Linked DNA regions of Struthio camelus. The protein of the gene in region 3 purifies or fractionates together with the protein of the main gene of each other region. This does not show direct contact. Links are inferred from orthologs where the notes say so. Each region holds a gene or a part of one and is shown on either strand. Other genes may lie near its edges. The genes, in order: C7H10orf88, gamma-tubulin complex component 3 and NEDD1.

Region 1 (3,747 bases), on a different chromosome or scaffold from region 3:
CAAGCAAACACTGCGTATCTGGCTCTTAGTTTCTCCATACAGAAGAACCAGAAGACCAAGAACCACCTGCCCAGAAGGCAAACAATAGAAAAAACAGTGATACTTCACCTCTGCTGAGGAAAGGGGAAGTAAAATTTCACCCTTTGAGCTTGGCAAAAAAAAAAAAAAAAAGCAAAAAAACTGGTTAGACAGCTTAATGCAAACAAAAAGCAGCACATTCTGAAACGCTGGTTGGAGAAAGTCAGCCAAATCATGGCAGGACCAAACTGGTTTCTTCTAAAAGACTGAGACTGATAATGCAGCAAGATTATAAGGGATAAGAAACATAAAGTATTGCTACCAGCAAATAACGTAAGATAATTAATACTGACTATTTTCAGCTCCCAAAAAAAAAAACCCTACTATAAAAAAAATCTACTCTTTGTAATTCCAGCTCATTGTTTTCTATTTTTTATATTTACTTCAAAAATATGTAAAAAATACATATGAAACCATGGAAATCCCATAAACATATATAACTCAGGGATTTTACTCAGGCCATTGTACATTAAAGATAATTCCCATCGAAAGTCTTAATTTATCACTCCTCAAAGAGCAGAATAACCCTCTGAAGCACCAGGCAGCACGTTGCCATCAAATTTAAAAAATGAATGTTTTCAAAACTGGACGAATTGACAGCACATTTTGGAAACATCAAGCACATTTTAGGAACTCAAACAGGAGAACCACGCAACACAGTCTTCCTGCTCCATTTTTTTTAATTAAAAACACAGGGATTTTCAACTTTACAAGGGATCCTGGCAGATATTCATTTTTTCTCCGGCTGCCGGTGAACCACATAAACCAGTTTCTCGCCCGAGTCCGCTGCTCCCGACAGTCACGTCCCGGCCGCCGCGGGAGGAGAAACTCTCACTCCTCCCCCCAGGAACTAGGATCCGACTGAAAGGCACATGAAACTGATTTCATACTTGTAGTCTCTTCTCTGAGTGATACACTGCCAGCACCCCCAGCACGGGAGACCAAATCACGCTCGTCCAAAATCTACCGTTCACTGCGACACCCGCTTCCCGCCACACGCGCCCCTCACACACACCCGCCGCCGGGCGCCGCCTCACCGCGCATGCGCACAGCCCCCCCCCCCCCCGGCCTGGCGCATGCGCCTGCCGCCGCTCCGCTCCGCTGCCGCTCCCGGCGGCGTCTGGCTGGCGGCCGGCGCGGCCGTGGCGATGGCGAGCCGCTGCCCGGCGGCGGCGGCGGCCGCTGCCCTTGCCCTTGCCGGCGGCTCCCGGTGTGGCGTGGGCCGCGTGGCGGCGAGTTGCTCGTGGCCCTGCGCGCCGCCGGGCGGCCTGGCCCGCGCGCTCTGCCTGCGGCGCGGCGACGGAGGGGACGGCGACGAGGAGGTGAGGTGAGGTGAGGCGAGGCGAGGCGAGGGCGGGGGGCCGGGCCGGGCCTCTCCTCTCCTCCGGCCGCGCTTTGCGGGGCGCGGCCCGGCGGGCCGGGGCGGGCCTGGTGGCGCCACGCGGCTCTGTGGGCTCCCTGCGCAGCAGCCAGGCGGAGGCGGCGGTGGTGGCGGCGGAGCGGCCTGCCGGCGGCGGGGAAGACGCGGCCTGCGTGCTGCGGCTGGAGTGCGAGCCGCCGGGCTGCGAGGAGATGGTGTGCGTGGCCGTGGTGAGCCAGGCGCGGCACATGGAGGTGTACGTGGGCGAGGAGTACTGCGGCACGGGCCGCGGCCGGAGCGTGGGCGCCCTGCGGCCCCGCGGGTGAGTAGCGGCCTGCGCTGCGGGCTCCGCGGCGGCGGTGGTGGGCGAGGCGAGGCCAGGGGGTTATATCTCTGCGGCTGGAGAACGGCAGAGAAAAGAGAAAGAAAGCGGGAAAGGCTTGTTTTTCCCCCTCGGTATTGCCTTCCACGCTTTGCCCCCGGAGCTAAAAGCTGAGCGAAAACATGCTATGTTAAGTCATGAAGCGTTATAAGTTCTTTGCTTGTTAGGCAAAGAGAAGCAACCGGCTTGGAGTTTCCGTGTCAATAACGGACCAGACTTCGAAAGCTGCTGTAGTAGATAAGTCAAGCACACACAAAAATCCTGTGTTTCCTTTTTTTGCACACACATCCCACGAGGTTCAGTACGTGTTGAATACAAGCATTAAAACGGCCGTATTATGTTAGAGTATGTTTCAGTCACTTTTGTTTCTTACCTGAATAACTAGTGGTATTTTGTAATTCTGCAACAAATGACAGAGCAAAAAGTGCCTTATATAGTGATGTCACAGTCCATTTATTTTATTTTTCTAGTGAAACTGAAAAAGTTACTTTATACAAAAAGTATCTCAAGCTGGAATGCCCTACAGCTTCCTGTAGAATTAAGGTAGGGACTTCAATGGAATTATTTAACCTTTCATTGTCTTTTTAATCACTTCTTTGAATAAAGTTCTCTTGTATTGCTGTTAGTCAAGTTATTGCAATTTTCGTACAGTAATTGTTTCACATAATTACTTAAGAAGACCTAGTATGTGTGTATGAAAACAATATCCTCTTAGTGAAAAAACTTCTTAAACTGGATAAATTGTAGCTAGTCAGCAGTCGATCAGAACTGCAAACTGATTCATTCACTGCTAACTCTGTGCAGTTAAATAACCTAATGAAAATCTATATGGCTACTGCTCCTCTTAACTGCTTAGAAGATCAAGGCTTAATTTATCCTTGGTGGCACGCATCTTCTGTTCCAGTCAGTTTTCTAACAGTAATGGCAAGGTAAAATGAGCTTAATTTCCCCAGAAAATACCCCCATATATATGCGTATATAAACACACAGAGTGGTGCGTTGTCTCAAATGACGAAAATACAGTTATTTCCTAACCAAAATATTTTTTCCCTTCTTGCAATAGCTGCTCTCCATTGGTGAAAAACAAAGCGTACTCATCAGTAAAATAATTGTACAAGTGAAAGCAGTGTCTGCAAAACTAGCAACTGATTTTCCTTCACTAGGATCAAGCATAGATCTAAACAGAGTGCAAACTATAATGGAATCTATGGGGTCAAAGTTGTCTCCAGGTGCTCAGCAGCTCATGGACATGGTTCGATTTCAGCAGAAAGTAAGTCATTGTGCTTTTCTGTAAACACGAATAGTGCTAATATGAGACCTTGTCTTCTGTAATAATTGAGCATGTTCTAAACTGATTTGATGAAAAAGCTGTTTTTTAACCCAAACTTTCTGCCATTTAAATCCTGGTTTGGCTATTGCCAAGCTTAAAAAGGTGAACGTGAATGATGATTGTGTACCCAAGGAAATCACCGTGCATAGATCAAGTCCCGAGTTAACAACTTTGCATCATCATCATCATCTTAAACTTCACTGTCACTGTATCCTCCTGCCTCCCTTGCTTTCCCTTCTGTTTTTTTCAGTTGTCAGTGCTTGTCATTTCATGGTAAGGATGGTGGATGTGTTTCCTGTTATGTTCGGGGTGCAGGTGGATGGGCTAGTTTGTCTGTCTGTCTCTTCTGTCTTTAATAAAGGCCCATGATTTTCAGATAAAGGAAACAAACCCTGAAAGGGCTTTTATTTGATTTAGATCCCAGTCCTCCAAAGCGGGCTATTTCAACAAAATCCTGTATCCACCTGATGTAAAGAACTGATCGGTCTTGGGGCCGTAGCATAATGAAAATTTGATTCAAAAAATTGCTGTCAGGAAAACTGTTTTGGTGCTTAGAGACTGACAAGATTAAAACTAATGCAATAGCATATGTTCAAG
Region 2 (3,747 bases), about 100 Mb from region 3:
GCACCTTTACTAGACAAGAGGGAGCTGGGTTATACTGAGCTCCAGCAGCACAGGGATAATAATTATTCCCTAGTGATAGAATTTGAGCTGGACCTAGCGTGAATTGACTGAATACGAGAAATGAAGGAGAGGCATCCTCAAAAGTCAGTATCTCTTTCAGGGAAGTGATAAACTTGAGGAGCAGGTTTGTCAAAGGTCTGGATCCCAGTTAAGAGCATGTTGCCTGAAACAGCCCAAGAGCTAGCTTGATAAGGCAACCTGCTGACTGGAAAATGCCTGAAGCACACCCCTGATTACAAAAGTTACGTTATTGTTTGATGATAAGCTCTGTGTCCAAATGATAGTAACCAATTTGCCAAGCTGTAAGTTTTCATAAAATAAAAACATTGTACTTTTTACATTGAGATTTCTTTAGTGATTTCAGCATAGTTGGCAGATGACAGGTATCTCATCCTTCAGGAGTGGCAAACACCTCAGGGGTACCGCTTTACTCTCCAACGCCAACCACAACAGCAGGAGACTGGGGACCTCAGCGGGATGCATGGGCTGCACATCCACAAGGCAGCGCAATGTAGAGAAGATGTCGATTTGAGATATTGAAGTATTTTGCAGATCTGCATTGATTTGTAACAATTTTATGTGGAAAGGTTATCAACATGCATTGATATTTTTCCAGGCTTAAAAAAAAAAAAAGTAAGTTAATGTCAATTATACTTCACTGTAAATTATAGCGTGATAGCAAGGCCGTGAGCGACTTGCTCTTCTGGGGGCAGAAACGAGAGGATTTGATCTCTTTCGGTTTGGGGAGGGGGATGAAAGGACAGTTTCAACAAGTGGAAAGTGGTCGCAGGGTGGGAATTTTCAGTGTTTGGGGCACCTTCGGCCGGGGTTGGCTTGCGCTGCACGCCTCCGGGGGTGGCTTGGCCACGGCCACGGCCACGGCCAGGGCGGCACCGCCGGGGCAGGCGGACCCAAGGGGGGCCGGGGGCCGAGCGCGCGCCCGGAACCTCGGCGCTGCGGCTGCGGGCGGCGCGGGGGAGCGTGTTCGGCGAGGCGCGCTCCGGTGCCGCCCGGCGCGCAGGGGCATTGTGGGCGCTCGGCTGCCGCCGCTGCGGCTTTCGGCGGGTTCTGTTAAAATGGCGCCTTAGGTAACGGCCGGGTGATCGGAGGTGTCGTCGGGGTCGCGCGCCGGTTAGAGGAGAGGAGCCTCTTCTCCTGTCCCTCCCCTGTTATCCCGCCGCGTCTCTCCTCGCTCCCGCCCCTGCCTCCTTCTCCTCTTCCCTCCCCGCCGCCTCCCTCCCCCGGGCGAGGATGGCGAGTCCGGACCAGAAGTCGCCCAACGTCTTGCTGCAGAACCTCTGCTGCCGCATCCTGGGCAAGAGCGAAGGTAACGGCCCCCCCTCCCCCCGCCGCGCCCCCCTTGGCGGCCGTTGGGTCGCGGAGCAGCCTTCCTCCCCCCCCCGCCCCCCATCCCCGCGCGCGCGGAGCGGGGCGAGGCGGCAACGGCCGGGCGAGGCGGCGGGGGAGGGTCGCGCTGCCCTGGCGGTAGGGAGGCGGCGGCCCTGGCCGAGCGGGCTGGCGAGGGCCTTCCCCCGCGGCGGGCAGCGTGTACGTATCCCCAGCCTGACCCCCGCCCGCCGGCGGGCGGGCGGCTCCGCGCTGGCGGCCCGAGAGAGCGGCTCCGGGAGGCCCTGCCGCCGGCTGGGGATGGGGGGCGGTCGCGCCAAGCCTGAGCTGTGGGCTGCTTGGGCGCTCTGCGGCAGGGAGGTGGGCTTGTCACACCTCCGTGTCCTCCCCCGGCAGCGCTCCCCTCTGCTGTGGAGTGGGGCACTGCTGCTTGGGTGGCTGGAGCAAGGGGTGGCTTATGTATGTCTTCATAAACCTCCATCTTCCTCGGATGCCTCCTCGAGTCTGGTAACTGCTGTGGCAGCTGAATGAAACCTCCTAGATCATCTGTATTTTTGCTGTGATGTTCTAGCGAGAGGTTGAATCTCGGGGTGTTTGCATAATTTCTGTCTGTTGCAAGCAAGGCAAAGCTTCTGTTTTTAGCAGGCGGTTGGAGGGTGGAAAGGAGGAGGTGCATCTGCTATGACTCCTTTCTAAGTGCTATCGGAAAAAATAGCAATGCTGTTTATAAGCATTGCTCACCAGAGAAATTTATGACCTGCCTTGTGTTCTGTCCATTTTCTCGTACGAACATGGAAGAAAGCCACATTTCGTATTAGCTGCCAAGTCTTTTTTGTGTTTTTCTCTTGCCACTGTTTTCCCAAAAGTCACTGGGGGTTACCTTTAGAAATCTGCATGACAGTAACAGTAATAATTTTGAGTACTGACCTATTGTAAAGAACTTAGTTCAGTCTGACTGAAATGTGGCCTATGAATGAATTACTGTTGTCTTTGAAGTCTGGAAAATGAGCAACAAGGTGCAGAGGTATATATATTTGTTGTCTTATTATTTCATATTTTTTCACTCTATCTATTGGAGAGCTGAGAAGCTTGGAGGAGTTTGGAATCTCCTTGCCTTCGCTGGAGTGTTGAATAGGGACCCTTTCACAGAAACATCCTTTAAGATGTTGGTTACTGTTTTCTTTTGTTTGTTTTTGCCTTAAAATCCTGTTCCCTTTCTGTTAGTATGTCTTTTTTTCGGTCTTATGTGGGCTATTCCGTACTTTGCAACCAACCCCCTTCAACAGGATTTGAGTACTTTCCTTAATTTCAGTGAGGAACTATTTATATCCTCTGATAAGAGAGCAGATTCCAAAAATCACTTTTACAAATTGCTCCTGAGTAAAATAAAAATGATATTTCAGCTTGTAATGCTAGCTTCTAAACTGTGTAATACCTCCTGCAGTTTTTATGGAGCCATATGTTTATTTTAGCAGCTCGCTTAATTATATATTAAAGGGTATTTCACATCAGCATACAATTATAAGATGCTATTGGAACCTTACTTTTAAAGCTGTTTCTCATCTTTGAAATAACTTGGAAATATTTTTCTAATGCAATTACAGTATTTTTATATTCAAGAGCACTTCAAACTTTCACAAGAAAATTCAAATTATTGTGCTAATTCCCCCACCTTTAAAAAAAAAAAAAAAAAAAAAAAGGAGGGGGGAGAAATTGACCTGCATTATTAGAGCAGTGGAGACATCTGTTAGGTTCTTATGTTGTCAATGTTGAGTTGCTGAATCCTGTTTTCTTGATGACTCTTTTTTTAGACACGTAGGGAACTACAGTATGAATTGATCTAAGTTTGTGTTGGTAAAGAGCATTTTAGTTAGGTATGTGACATTTGTAAAACTTAAACAGAGAAGAAGAATAGAAATAGAAAAGTATCCTGCATTTATCAATTGTGGCATGAGTGTTAAGGAGAGGCTGGCTATTTCTGCTGACTTTGAATCTAGCCTTCCTTTTGGAGCTGTAATTTCTATATGTTTTTCTCCGTTCTGAATGTTGTAATAAGTTTATTTGCAAGCTCATATATGCTTGCATGCACTAGCCTGCAAAAAAAGCAGGACATGAAATTTTTTTTAATAAGCGTTGAACTTATTCCTATATGCTAGGCTTCCACTCATGTAACTAAAAGTGTTCCCTCCTTCCCCCCCCACCCCATGTGTGTGTGACTGATGAAAGAGGAAGCTTGTAGGAAGTTACCCATAATCGTACTAAGTTGCTGCATGCCACCTGTAGTCTACTGCCTCTGATCACTTGCGGGTTACTTTCAAATTGTTACTTCAAAGATGACCT
Region 3 (3,747 bases):
AATAGGACTGATGATTGATTAATGAGGATGAATAGATGCAGTAACACATGATGCTTATGCTGTCTGGAAATAATAATGGTATTTTGTACAGAAGTAATATTTTTTCTCCTAGTGCTGAGTTCACGTAGACTAGAAGTGAAACAACTTGGTAAATCAAAACTCCATCATAAATGGAGAGTGAATGGGGAATTTCATATCTAGCAATGCTTGGAGCCATTTATAAGGTAAAGATTCATTTGAAACCAGACCTCTGTAGCATCATTTAGTTTAACTACAGTTTTCATGTCTAAGAGCCTTTAAAGACAATCTTTTACTGAATGCTGTTCTACTTAGGTTTAAAAAGCAAAGACTGTGAAAATACATCATTTGCAGAACTGCTAGCTTTTATTCTACTATATGAAAAATACCTTTCTATAGAAGTCAGTGTGGCTGGACTGGTAGCTATATTCAAAGTCAGGATACAGCCACAAAGATTCTGTTACTGGAATTAAATGGAAAGTGTGCAATGGGGTACATGCCCAATAGGTATGTTGTGAGCACAACATCTGTAATTAAAAGTGGACATCATTTGGCAGGTTCAGATCAGGAACTTTTCCAGTTAGAAGGTATTTATTACTGTTATTTATATTTGTGATGTTGTTGTCCCAGCAGAGGTTAAGGACCCCACTGTGCCCCCCGCCCTATACATCCCCTCCTCCCAAGTTCACAATTTGAACGCAGCAGGTACAGGATTCGGGTTTCACTCAAAATCGGCCCATCATGGAGCAAAGGACTTGTTAATACGTGGCTGGTTCCAGCTTTCTTTAGCAGTCCCCAGCCAGGGGCTCCGTGCCGCTGCCGGCTCTGCCGTCGCCAAGGCAAGAAGGGAGCCCGCTTCCCCTGAAGGCCACAGCGGGTGGGCGGGCGGCGGCCGCCGCCGCCGCCTCAGCCCGGCGCCCGCCACGCCTCCCAGCGCCACCGCGGCCCAGCGCTCCGCGCCCCTCTCAGACGTTGGGCCCCCGCCAACGGCCGCCGACAACGGCCCGCGCGCGCGCGCGCTCGCTCGCGCACTCCGCCACCGCTTCGCCCCCTCCGGGCCACCGTAGCGGCCGGGGGATAGGGCAGGGGAAAGCGCGCGGAGGCTGTTGGGACGGGCTGTTAACTTGGATGCCGCGCGGAAAGTCGGCTGGGGAGGGAGAGCGCCCGGGAGGGGCGGCACTCATTGGCTGGGAGTGCCTGACGGACCCGGTAGAGAACTGGGAGCAGGGGCGCCTGAGCCAATCGGGAAGGCCGGCGCCCGGGCCCCATCCCCGCGGCGGCGGCGGCGCTCGGCCGGGGCGGCAGGGGAGGCGAAGGGGCTCGGCTCGGCGCGGCTCGGTTCGGCTCGGCGGCGGCCTTGCAGGCCGCTGCCGCCCGGCCAGGTGGGCAGCAGGGGCGGGGCGGGCGGCCGACCCCAAGCGCTCGAGGAGGGCGCTGGGGCAGCGCTGGTGGCGGGGCCGGGCCGGGCCAGGCGGCCGTGGCGGTGCGCGGAGCGGCTCGTTTCGCTCGCTCGCTCGCTCCCTCCTGTCCTCCGGGGCTGCCCGTGCGGAGCGTGGCCGGGGGGTGCGAGTCGTGAGGAGGAGTGTGGGGTGGCGGAGCGGCTCCGCGCCTGATGTCCTGGGCCGCGGCGGAGCCAAGGCAGCTGCGGACCTCCAGTTTCCTGGCTCGGTTTCCTCAGTTTCGCGGGTTTGTCTCAGGCGTTTTGAGCTGTGAGAATCAGGGAACGGAAACTGTCCAGAAACGTCCCAAGAACTCCTTTGACTGAAGGGTTATTATGCTTTGAAATCAACGAAGGGTTCGCCTTTTGGGGCCTCGCTTGTTGTCTGAGTTTCAAATTAGCCAGAATAAAAGCTGAGAATAAACTTTATAGAATCAGACTAGCTAATTCCAGATTTAACTCTAAAAACGGCTACTGTCAAAACAAATGGTAGTACGGTTTACGTTGTGAAAGCTGCATTGAAAAGTAATTCATTGTCGCTCGTCTTCTACTGTTGAACGTTTAGTTTAAAAGATTCTCCACCTTCTCCTGTAGGATGGGGAGAGGGACGCTGGAGTCCTTTAGGTCCTAACTTCCAGTGTTTCCCTGTTGCAACAGTCGGTTTGATTCTAGCTTGTATAGCTCCATCTGCTGTTGACAAGTGAGTCCTTGAAATACTCAGGACTTCGTGTTAGATATCCGTAAACTCTACGGATATATGGGCACGTAAAACATCGTTTTCATTTCTGATAGCAGCTCGAGTTCCAGGCTTGTAGATTATTAACTGCATGGATTTTAGACGTATTGGTAGTGCAGAGAGGTTGATGTTTTGTTTGTGAAAAGGAACGCGTATGTTTCCTGCAAGAATTAAAGTAACTAAAGCGAGGAGTGTCTGCTGCTTTCAGCAGTGTGCTCAGTTGAATGGTGCTACTTGCGTAACTCTCCAAATAAATATCTGTCTTATCAAGAAAACGGTATAAAATGGTATTGATGAAATTCTTCTTAACTTGCAAAGTGAACTGTTACTTAATTTTTATTTATTTTTACATAAATAGGTGCAGCCATGCAAGAAAGCATACGTTTTGCTTCATCAGGAGATGACATAAAAATATGGGATTCCTCATCTGTAACCGTAGTGGAGCAGTTCAACCCGCATACACCCGCACATCCAGTCAGCTCACTGTGTTGGGCTAGTAATAGTATCCTTTACTACTTTAGCCATAGTTTTATGGGAGTTATGCAAAATTGCAGTGCATTTTTTTTATTATTATTAAGTTATCTCTAAATGAAAGGTCTTATCTGATCTTGAAAAGCCTTGCATAAAAGGATTCTTACATACTGTGAAGAAATTTTTGTGGTTGCCTGCATTTAAGTTTCACAAAATAAACTCATGCTGGTAGATGCTTCTGAAGATGTTAGTCCTCCTTTAGGAGGACTGTCAACCGCACATCTTACTCATTTGTTTCTTTAGTGATTGATTACAAAATTCACATTCAAGGCAGTAATTAGTTTATTGATAAGGTTCAACAAAGAAATTGCTAATGTAGTAAAATTCTATATTTAATGTAGAGAATAATTTTTTGTTTTGTTTTGTTTAACAGTTTCTCACTGATTCTGTTAGAAATGGCCTCTGTCTGACAGAGTATACTTAAGTTTCTTACTGTCTAAGCATTGGTCTTCTGTTTACTGGTTACAGCATTTACAGAGGAAACACAAATGTGTTGGATCCATCCATGGCATTGGTTTGTCCTGGGAAATGGATCTGGCCCATGTAGACGTTTGGCCCTCTGTCTTGGAGGCCTATTACAGGATCATGATATGTGGTGCCAAGTAGATATGAGTATATGAGAAATTTCAGGTGAATAGATGTTATATGGCTGTCATGGGAAAAAGAGCAATATCTGGTCTTGATGTAAAAGAAAGGCAGGTTGCTGACAAATAAAAATGATGCCCTAAAAGTTCTGAATGCATCTATCCTCTAAGCCTGCAAGTGAGTGAATGAATGAGAAGGCAAAAATTTGCAATAGTCGGAGTACACATCGGTATTTTAGCTTGGAAATTCCCAAGAAATTGAAGCATAGTTGGGGGGGGGGGGGAAGAAAAGCATATCTCTCTCTCTCTCGCTCTCTCTCTCTCGCTCTCTCTCTCTCGCTCTCTCTCTCTCGCTCTCTCGGCGGCCTACCAATTCTTGTGGTGTTAAATCCAACAATTAACCTATATTCTTAATTAAGCAAATACAAAATCATTATGGG

The links.
Region 1: the proteins of NEDD1 (region 3) and C7H10orf88 purify together in Homo sapiens (co-immunoprecipitation; 3 studies listed by BioGRID and IntAct, counting the BioPlex papers as one, with this or other methods). This does not show direct contact. The link is inferred for Struthio camelus from reciprocal best matches to the Homo sapiens genes NEDD1 and C10orf88.
Region 2: the proteins of NEDD1 (region 3) and gamma-tubulin complex component 3 purify together in Homo sapiens (affinity purification with mass spectrometry; 3 studies listed by BioGRID and IntAct, with this or other methods). This does not show direct contact. The link is inferred for Struthio camelus from reciprocal best matches to the Homo sapiens genes NEDD1 and TUBGCP3.

What each region holds. Positions count from the first base shown.
Region 1 is NC_090948.1:5,466,152-5,469,898, forward strand, and holds the start of C7H10orf88 (ATPase PAAT), read left to right. Parts: upstream 1-1,154; coding exon 1,155-1,405; intron 1,406-1,544; coding exon 1,545-1,760; intron 1,761-2,290; coding exon 2,291-2,363; intron 2,364-2,883; coding exon 2,884-3,090; intron 3,091-3,747. UniProt on the Homo sapiens protein: ATPase that regulates mitochondrial ABC transporters ABCB7, ABCB8/MITOSUR and ABCB10. Regulates mitochondrial ferric concentration and heme biosynthesis and plays a role in the maintenance of mitochondrial homeostasis and cell survival.
Region 2 is NC_090942.1:157,254,689-157,258,435, forward strand, and holds the start of gamma-tubulin complex component 3, read left to right. Parts: upstream 1-1,000; 5' UTR 1,001-1,311; coding exon 1,312-1,387; intron 1,388-3,747. UniProt on the Homo sapiens protein: Component of the gamma-tubulin ring complex (gTuRC) which mediates microtubule nucleation.
Region 3 is NC_090942.1:52,707,278-52,711,024, forward strand, and holds the start of NEDD1 (protein NEDD1), read left to right. Parts: upstream 1-1,121; 5' UTR 1,122-1,227; intron 1,228-1,275; exon of another isoform or gene 1,276-1,400; intron 1,401-2,550; 5' UTR 2,551-2,558; coding exon 2,559-2,694; intron 2,695-3,747. UniProt on the Homo sapiens protein: Required for mitosis progression. Promotes the nucleation of microtubules from the spindle.